Linked DNA regions of Drosophila melanogaster. The protein of the gene in region 1 interacts with the protein of each later gene in a pairwise test. Each region holds a gene or a part of one and is shown on either strand. Other genes may lie near its edges.

What was found.
Region 2: the proteins of CG13838 (region 1) and Cipc interact in a two-hybrid assay, tested with the Drosophila melanogaster proteins (2 studies listed by BioGRID).

The regions. Positions count from the first base shown.
Region 1 is NT_033777.3:23,040,301-23,043,174, forward strand, and holds CG13838 (uncharacterized protein), read left to right. Parts: upstream 1-1,940; 5' UTR 1,941-2,032; coding exon 2,033-2,308; 3' UTR 2,309-2,369; downstream 2,370-2,874.
Region 2 is NT_033777.3:26,105,037-26,110,194, reverse strand, and holds the start of Cipc (clock interacting protein circadian), read right to left. Parts: upstream 3,328-5,158; 5' UTR 2,853-3,327; intron 2,611-2,852; 5' UTR 1,318-2,610; intron 1-1,317.

The DNA.
Region 1 (2,874 bases):
GACATCTCATAACCAAAGTGAAAAGTTGGAAAACAATAACGGGCAGCGATGCGGGGCACACATGTCCTGCCTGAGCAATCGCCTCCAAAGCAGTGTCCTTCGGCCAGGATGGCCACAACCAGTGCCGGCAGCCAGGGAAGAGGCTACACAGCGTGACAAAGTTTATGGACCACAATGGAGCTGCAGCTCACTTAGTATTCTCCGCTCGGATATAAGCTCGGTAAGGACATTCAACGTGGCACAACGACCAGGACTACTACCACACACATAAATTATATGCCTTTATTTGGGCAAAACAGTGTAAAACGCAAATGCAACCTGATGACAACAACAGGCTGCGTTATGCAGCAACAACAGAACCAGAAGAAGCCGGACCCAAAGACGTGGCAACAATGAGACTTTTCGGCAAACAAACGAGGCAAACTAAGAGCGCTTTTCAACTAATGACGACGAGCAGTAACAAAAACGTTTTCAAACTGGGCGGCGGCAACAAGTTGAGCCGTTTAGATTTAGAGCTTGTAAAGTGTGTGCGGAAAATTCAATAACCAAGTGATAACAACCTCAAGAACAGATCCAAGTTAACCCGCTGGAAGACCAGGAAAATCCACACAACCACTCGAGCTGAAGGATATCGGCAGGGTAAATGCACAAATGCATATGCATACATAGATGTATGTGTATGCGTATGTAGGCAGGCCGGAGAGATGACAACAAAAGCCAGCTTAATGGCAATAATAACAGATTTTAGCCAACCACAAAGAAAACGTCAACAGAGGCATACTTTTTGGCCACCATGCTGGCAGCAGCAGCAGCAGCAGTTCGGTTAATGGCAGGAAGTTCACTTCACAGCCAGGACGACACATCCTTGCAGCAGTCACTTTGAATGAAAATTCATTAAGTGAAAATGCCTAAGCCAGCAGATGAAACAGAAAGGAGCAGCAGTCCATCCTCTTAATAGCCGAAAAAAAAGACCGCATCGTTGGACAAGCAACCACATCCATCAGCCGGCCGATTGGCTCAATTTGCATGCAATTAAAAATAAATTGAGGCACCTTGTTCTGCGGCTAAACTAAATAGTGGCACCGCATTCGGTGGAGCCCACTTCCAATTTTCAGTACCAAACTGGTGCGGGGGTGGGGGGGAACGCGACCACCGCAGTATGGGGCCAAAAAAATTGATTTCAACTTCGGTTGCCGCCGCGTATTTATAGGCTGAATTGTCATTTTCTCCTCTTTTCTGGTTGCTGCATTTTTTTTATTATTTACTTCAACCCAATCCTGAATGCTAACAAAGAGTTCTCGAAAGGAGAGCGTAAAACAAACAAATCACGGACCGATATGCACACATAAAAATTCATAAATATTCTATTTTGAGTTGACATTTTGACAAGTGAATATGAATATTGCAGTCGCAGCGCACAAATTTATAATTGATATGTATAAATAATGGACAAAGCCATTTTGTAAATGGGTTTAATGAAATGAACGAGTGTAGCTCTTGTAATAGCTCGCCAATTACAAACAAAGCAAAACAAACAATAGTCGAAAAAGAAGAGTGGACTTTCTGGTGCCCTGGGCGCAAATATTTTTCAAAACATTTAATTTATTGTATTTGAAAAGTTGTAACGATTTTTCAAAAATATCCTCCTAAAATGGCAAGCAATTTACTTTCATTTTTTTAAGCAATAGACTTTAATAAACGTTTGATGAAAAAAAAAAATCATCAAGTTCACCCATTTAATATACCCCTTAAATCTCAATTTACAGGTGCCATCGCTTAAATAAAATATACTTAATATTTCACATTTGGCGTTAAAAGCAAAAGTACCCAAAAGCCAGTTAGCTGCAATTACAATTAAATTAAATTGGTTTATGGTAAGCAACTTTAATTATGTTCGATAGCAAAACAAACCAAGTCAAATTTGCTTTACACTTCGGATCGCATGGCACAAAATAACACCGAAAATCATGATTTAGGGTGAAAAAAATTTAAATTTAAATCGAAAGTTGTTTTCCCAGCCCTTAAAGCCCAGATGGACAGCGCCGATGAGCAGCTGCAGCTGGATCTGGACAGGATATCGATGGAGAGTCGCCAGGCCAGCAGTTTCGATGACCTCATCGAGCTGACCAACAACTCGGAGCGTCTGATGGCCAGAGTCAATTCCAGCTTGGATGACCTAAACACCGCCCTCGACAACCTGGAGGCTCGAACGGACCGGGTTCTGGTCGAGATTCGGAGGCTAATCAGCTCGGAAATGCCGGCACAAGGTCCGCACGATGGATGTGGCGATCCAGATGCCAGGGCGTAGGCGGGCGAATGGCTGTGATACGTAATGTGATAATAAATAAATGTATTTTATTTTCATATCGAAATCAATTGATGCTCAACTGCTCATAGGAATTGAAAAGTGATTGGTCGTAGCTCTTCTTCGGTTTCGAATCGAATGGGGATCGAAAACTTCGCGGGGGCATTGAGGCCATAGAGGCAGAAGATCCATAAAACGCCCGACAGTTTGTTTGTTTTTTATGAGAACTGTAACCCTAGCACACAAATAATTAGTGAGCTATTTTTATGGATCTTCGGATGCGGGGCTGCGCATGCGCAATGCGCATTGAGCAGAAGTATCAAGGTGCTGGGGGTCTTCATCCACAATCTTAATTAGAATTTACATACATTTTCAATATGCGTGTGTGTGTGTGTGTGTGTGTGTTTTGTATTTGTGCACATGTTGCACTGCATTTGAAGATCTCGTCGTGCACTTAATCACTTGAGCCGTCGGCACCATATGGGGTCCTTTCTTTTACTTCTTGTTGTCTGTGCCCCGCGGCATCTGGTGCATGGTATATGTAGTAGACTGAGCGGTATAACCTGTTA
Region 2 (5,158 bases), 3.1 Mb from region 1:
GATGTATTGGATTGTAGTTGATATTGTATGCTCACATATATAAGTGTATATAGAGGCTTTGGCGATGCGTTGGCCAGCGTATGTAAGTGCCGATGACGTGATGATCAGCGATAGATTCCACGTCAGCGCGGCAGTACGGTACACTTGCACTCTTTTTTTTTTATAAAAACTTATGACGTTTGGCAGAGTATGGACATACCGATGGCGTGGTGATCAGCGATAGATTCCACGTCAGCGCAGCAGTACGGTACACTTGCACTTTTTTTATAAAAATTATGACGTTTGGCAGAGTATGGACATACCGATGGCGTGATGATCAGCGATAGATTCCACGTCAGCGCGGCAGTACGGTACACTTGCACTTTTTTATAAAAATTATGACGTTTGGCAGAGTATGGACATACCGATGGCGTGATGATCAGCGATAGATTCCACGTCAGCGCGGCAGTACGGTACACTTGCACTTTTTTATAAAAATTATGACGTTCGGCAGAGTATGGACATACCGATGGCGTGATGATCAGCGATAGATTCCACGTCAGTGCGGCAGTACGGTACACTTGCACTTTTTTAAAAAAATTATGACGTTCGGCAGAGTATGGACATACCGATGGCGTGATGATCAGCGATAGATTCCACGTCAGCGCGGCAGTACGGTACACTTGCACTTTTTTTTTGTATATTTATTTATTTTACATTTTTCCTCTCTCTTTTTTTTTCCTGTGTTTGAATATATGTTTGAGTTTCATTTGGTACTTCACAACTTCAATTTTGTTTTATAAAAATTTGTTCCTAGTCACTTTCAGTCGACATCTTGCATATAGTTTGTTTCGTTTCTTACATGTTTACTTACAGGTAGGTAATTATTAATAGGTAGGACATCCTACCGGCTGCGCCAGTTAAGTCCGTGATCGAGGGTGGAGCCTTTTGTGAAGATATGATGTGTAAATGTATGAAGGTTTTTAAGTTTCAGCAGATAGTTGTAGTGTGAAGATTTCCAATAAAGAATACGACTGACTTTCTTGAAGTTCAAAATCAGTATGAAGTTTATTGTCAGAGAGTGGCTACTCGAGTCCTCCGTTTTCGTCTTATACATAAGTACATAGGTTCTTAATTGTAAGCATAATGAACATGCCGACTCGGCATGTGGCTGGCTAGCTGGGGACAATGTTGCAGTGCGACTTTTGTGTAATGTCAGCATTCGGCCGGAATGTCAGCATTCGGCCGGATGCGGTGTTCCAGTTGCCGTCTTCCCGGTTGAGTGTCCGATGATTTGTTTAGAGGCGTGGGGGTTTAGGGGGTGGGGTGGTAACTCGCGCTCTCTTTTCTCCACATTTGGGGCCAAAGCTGACGATCCGCATATCAGCTCTACATATATATTTTGTTGTCTTTTATTTATTTTTTCTTTTTGCCTTCGCCCGTGTTGTTGCTTGTTTATATTTATATATCGGATGGGGCTAATATTTTTTCCAATTTTTTACTGCTTTGTTTGTTGCTGTAATGCGGAACGCGCGCGCTCGAGCAAAAATGATAAATCTACGATTATGGGCGTCATGGGGTGTCATGAATGGAGCGGCCCCCCCGAAACACGCGCAAGAGTTACCTATCAGAGATATAGATATGCTCGGTACCTGTTTAATGTCCACGACTGCCTAAAGCAATTTCCGGTTGGAAATACGCCCAGAATAAATGGGTTCAATAGTGCCAATGAACCGAAGATAATAATAATACCCAGAACTTAAGCTCATTTCGTTGCACTGTTTCTCACTGACTTGAAGTAATCGTAGTTAGGCAAATACAAAGTCTTCAGAGTGAGTAAAAAAAATAAATAAACAAACAGCTGTCGATTGTGGATCACAGCTTGAGCTTGATTCACTTTAGCTGAGCCATCGCTTCTTTTAGTACGCCGTAAAAACCAGCTGCAAAAGTGGCCCAGAAAAATCTCCCTACTTTTCTCTTCTTTCAAATCGCAGACAAAGCTCTATGATTACTTTGTGCTTATTTCAAGAATATTTCACACGATTTGACCGAACTCTTAATGGCTGATGTAAAACCAAAACATATTTACGTAAAGGAAGGAAGTACTTTTTTATCTTAGTTCTTGGAATTCGACAGCACAGAAACAAATAAAGGGCTAACACATCAACATGTTAAAGTTTTGTTTTCTTTAAGTTACACTTTGTTTCCCTTGCGAAAATTGAGTGCGTCTGGCAATATATGTAAACATTGAAAGTCCCTGAAGCCCAAAACATTATTCGAACTTTATGCTTTATATTTCCCGCGAGTATTTGAGGTATATAATAAAACAGTCGCAGAGAGCATTTATTTTTTTTTTAATTTTAATAGTAAGCCGTATTTAAATCTGGTTAACATAAGTTTGTTTCGTAATTTGTAAATTACTTTAAGTACGAGCTTTAAAGGTCACAGTTAGTGAGCTTAAGAAATCAATATTGCGCATACGCCATGTGGCCCGCCGAAATGCAGATGCAAGCGCAGCACAAGGAAGCCCAAATGCCAAAGGACACGCCATGAGTCATGTGATAAGGCCCACGGATCCTGACCTAAATTCGTCCTTCAGAAGGTGAGGCACGAAGCTTGAAAAAATCTCGCCTATACGGGGAAAGGAAATTCAGGGGGGATGCAAAAAAAAAAATACAGAGAACAGGAGGACAACCTCTCTAGTTGGCAGGAGAGCTTTCAGCATCGGAAGTCGGCTGTCAAGTGCAATTTTGTGTTTTTTTTTTTTTTTTTGGCTTTGTATTATTATTTAGCACCGCACGTGTGGCACACAAATGCTGATGCTAATGCCGGGAGATTTATGGCAAACCTTTTCGCGAGACCTGCCGACTTACCCAGACGCTGCGGGAATGATGTTGATGTCGTGTTTCTTCCGCTCTAGATACCCTTAATTTAATGCACCCTCATTGGGAATAATGAACATTATCTTTTCTTCTTATTTTCTGTATTTTTTCGTATTTGTTTTCACACGCTTTTAATCTATTCTAGGTAAGGGAACGTGTGTGTGCAAATTCGCAGACGCCAATGGCAACACGCGCGCCAAACAAAACTTTCGCTTTCGTTGCGCGTGTGGCCGTCACACCACTACACACAGCTACACTCACTCACACGCACACACACACACACACACACAGTGGCACACACGCGCGCTGGCAAACAACAAACACGGATATGCGAATACTCGAGTGCGACTGCAAAATACGTAAACGCTCGTGTTCAGCGCGAAATACAAAGCTCTCGTAGCTTTTCCAGTTTTTTGACCAAACTGCGAGACGAACACCTCGACCGCCCAAAGCAGAATGAACGCGGTCCGACGAACGAGCGTCGTTTTAATAGTAGCTCAGCGGGCACTCACTGCGCACCCCACAAAAGTGGCCAAATGTGTTAGGAAATTATTAAAAAAAAAAAAAAAGAAAAATAAATTTATTTTTGGTTAGATCATATTTTTAATCAAACATATTAAATTCTTAAAACCATATTTAACATTAAATTAGTTCTAAGTTCTAAATTTAGCAAATTTAGCCGATAAGCAACGAAATAATAAGTTGACTTTACTCGCAGAGTAATCAACAAATTACTATAGCTGGCCTTATCTACAGAAAACGGTTCAAATCATTTATTTGCACACACTCATGCTCGAGCATCCACCAAAATAAAATTATTTATAGCATCAGTGAAAAACTGTTGACACACATTCGCATTCAAAAGTCGCCAACGCATCTCAATCAATCGAAAAATGTTGCCGCAACATTGTTGCCAGCAACACGCCCCGAAAATGGGGAATCCCAGGGGAGAGCTGCTTTGCGTTTGGTTCGGGTTTGTTTTGGTCGTGCCTTTCTGGTTGCCTAAATCCGGACCCTCGGGCCAGGCCATCACCTCCCACTTCCACCCCCCTCCCCGTCGCAATAGAAGGCAATTTTGTCGCACGTGTCGGAAATTTTGTTACGGCCGATTGCTTTTGCTTCCTCTCCCTCTGCGCGATGGCTGTGAGTTTCAATGAGTTGTGTTTGCGCTGACGGGTTGCTATATATATATACACAGAGTACGGGGGAGATTCTTAAACCATAAAAAATAGATATAAATAATATAAGAAGTGTTGTTTAAAATAATAAAAGATTCATTTATTTTTGTACAATTTTAAAACCCTAAATGAAAGCTCTGTACTAACGTTCGACATTGCGAGGTCTTGCTGTACAATATGCATATATTTTTTCTGCTCGAAGACCCACTGTCTTGACAGATACATTTTCCGAGCGACCTTTCGCGCTGTTTTCGTAATGAAAAGGCAATTCAATGGCCTTTGGCTGTTGCCGGCGCAGCCGCCTGCGACACTAACGGTAAACGGGGAACGATGGCTGACTTCCGGTTTGGCTTTAATCGTCTGCTGCTGTCGTAAATGGCAGCAAAATCCGAGCAGCGAACAATAAAAGAGAAATTAGCATAACACATGAGACAACGACAACGACGCTCGTTGGAGGCCCCCTTGCGGAACCGCTTCCCCCCGATTTTGCCATGTTCTTTATGTGTGATTTTAATGGGCTCGTGGGTGTCTGGGCCATGGTCGCTTTTCTATTTCAATTGCCGACACGTGTACGCCGCGTAAAACAAAAGGAACACGACCATAAAAGCATCACGCACATGTCTGGCCATTTGCATTTTTTCCGCCCTTAAATTTCTGCACCCAAAGTGCCATTTAATTGCCATGAAGTGTAGGGGCGTGGCCACTCTTTTGCGTCAATGCAAAAGTTCCATAAACGTGGTCGTTATTATGTGGGCTGTCCATCCTATCAAGACGCCCGTTAAATAAAAGTGCGTAATCAAATCTAACGAGTATAGCCCGAACAACACGAATAATTCAACTGATTAGAAATAGACGAAAATAAACTGTACCGAAATAGCCTAAACACAACCATCTTGCCGTTGACATATTTATTGTTTTATTTTTAATTGATAATGGCATTTTAAGTGACAAATTTTATTATCTGTCCTTTAGTATTAAAATAATTGTGCCTAATTACTCCAAAAATAGCTATGTCGTGATAAAAATAAACCACAATATTGCTGGCTAAACACTTCAAAAACCGCAGATTGTATTTCAATTCTGCGGTTAATGATCGTGCGGCGAACACATTTGTTTGTC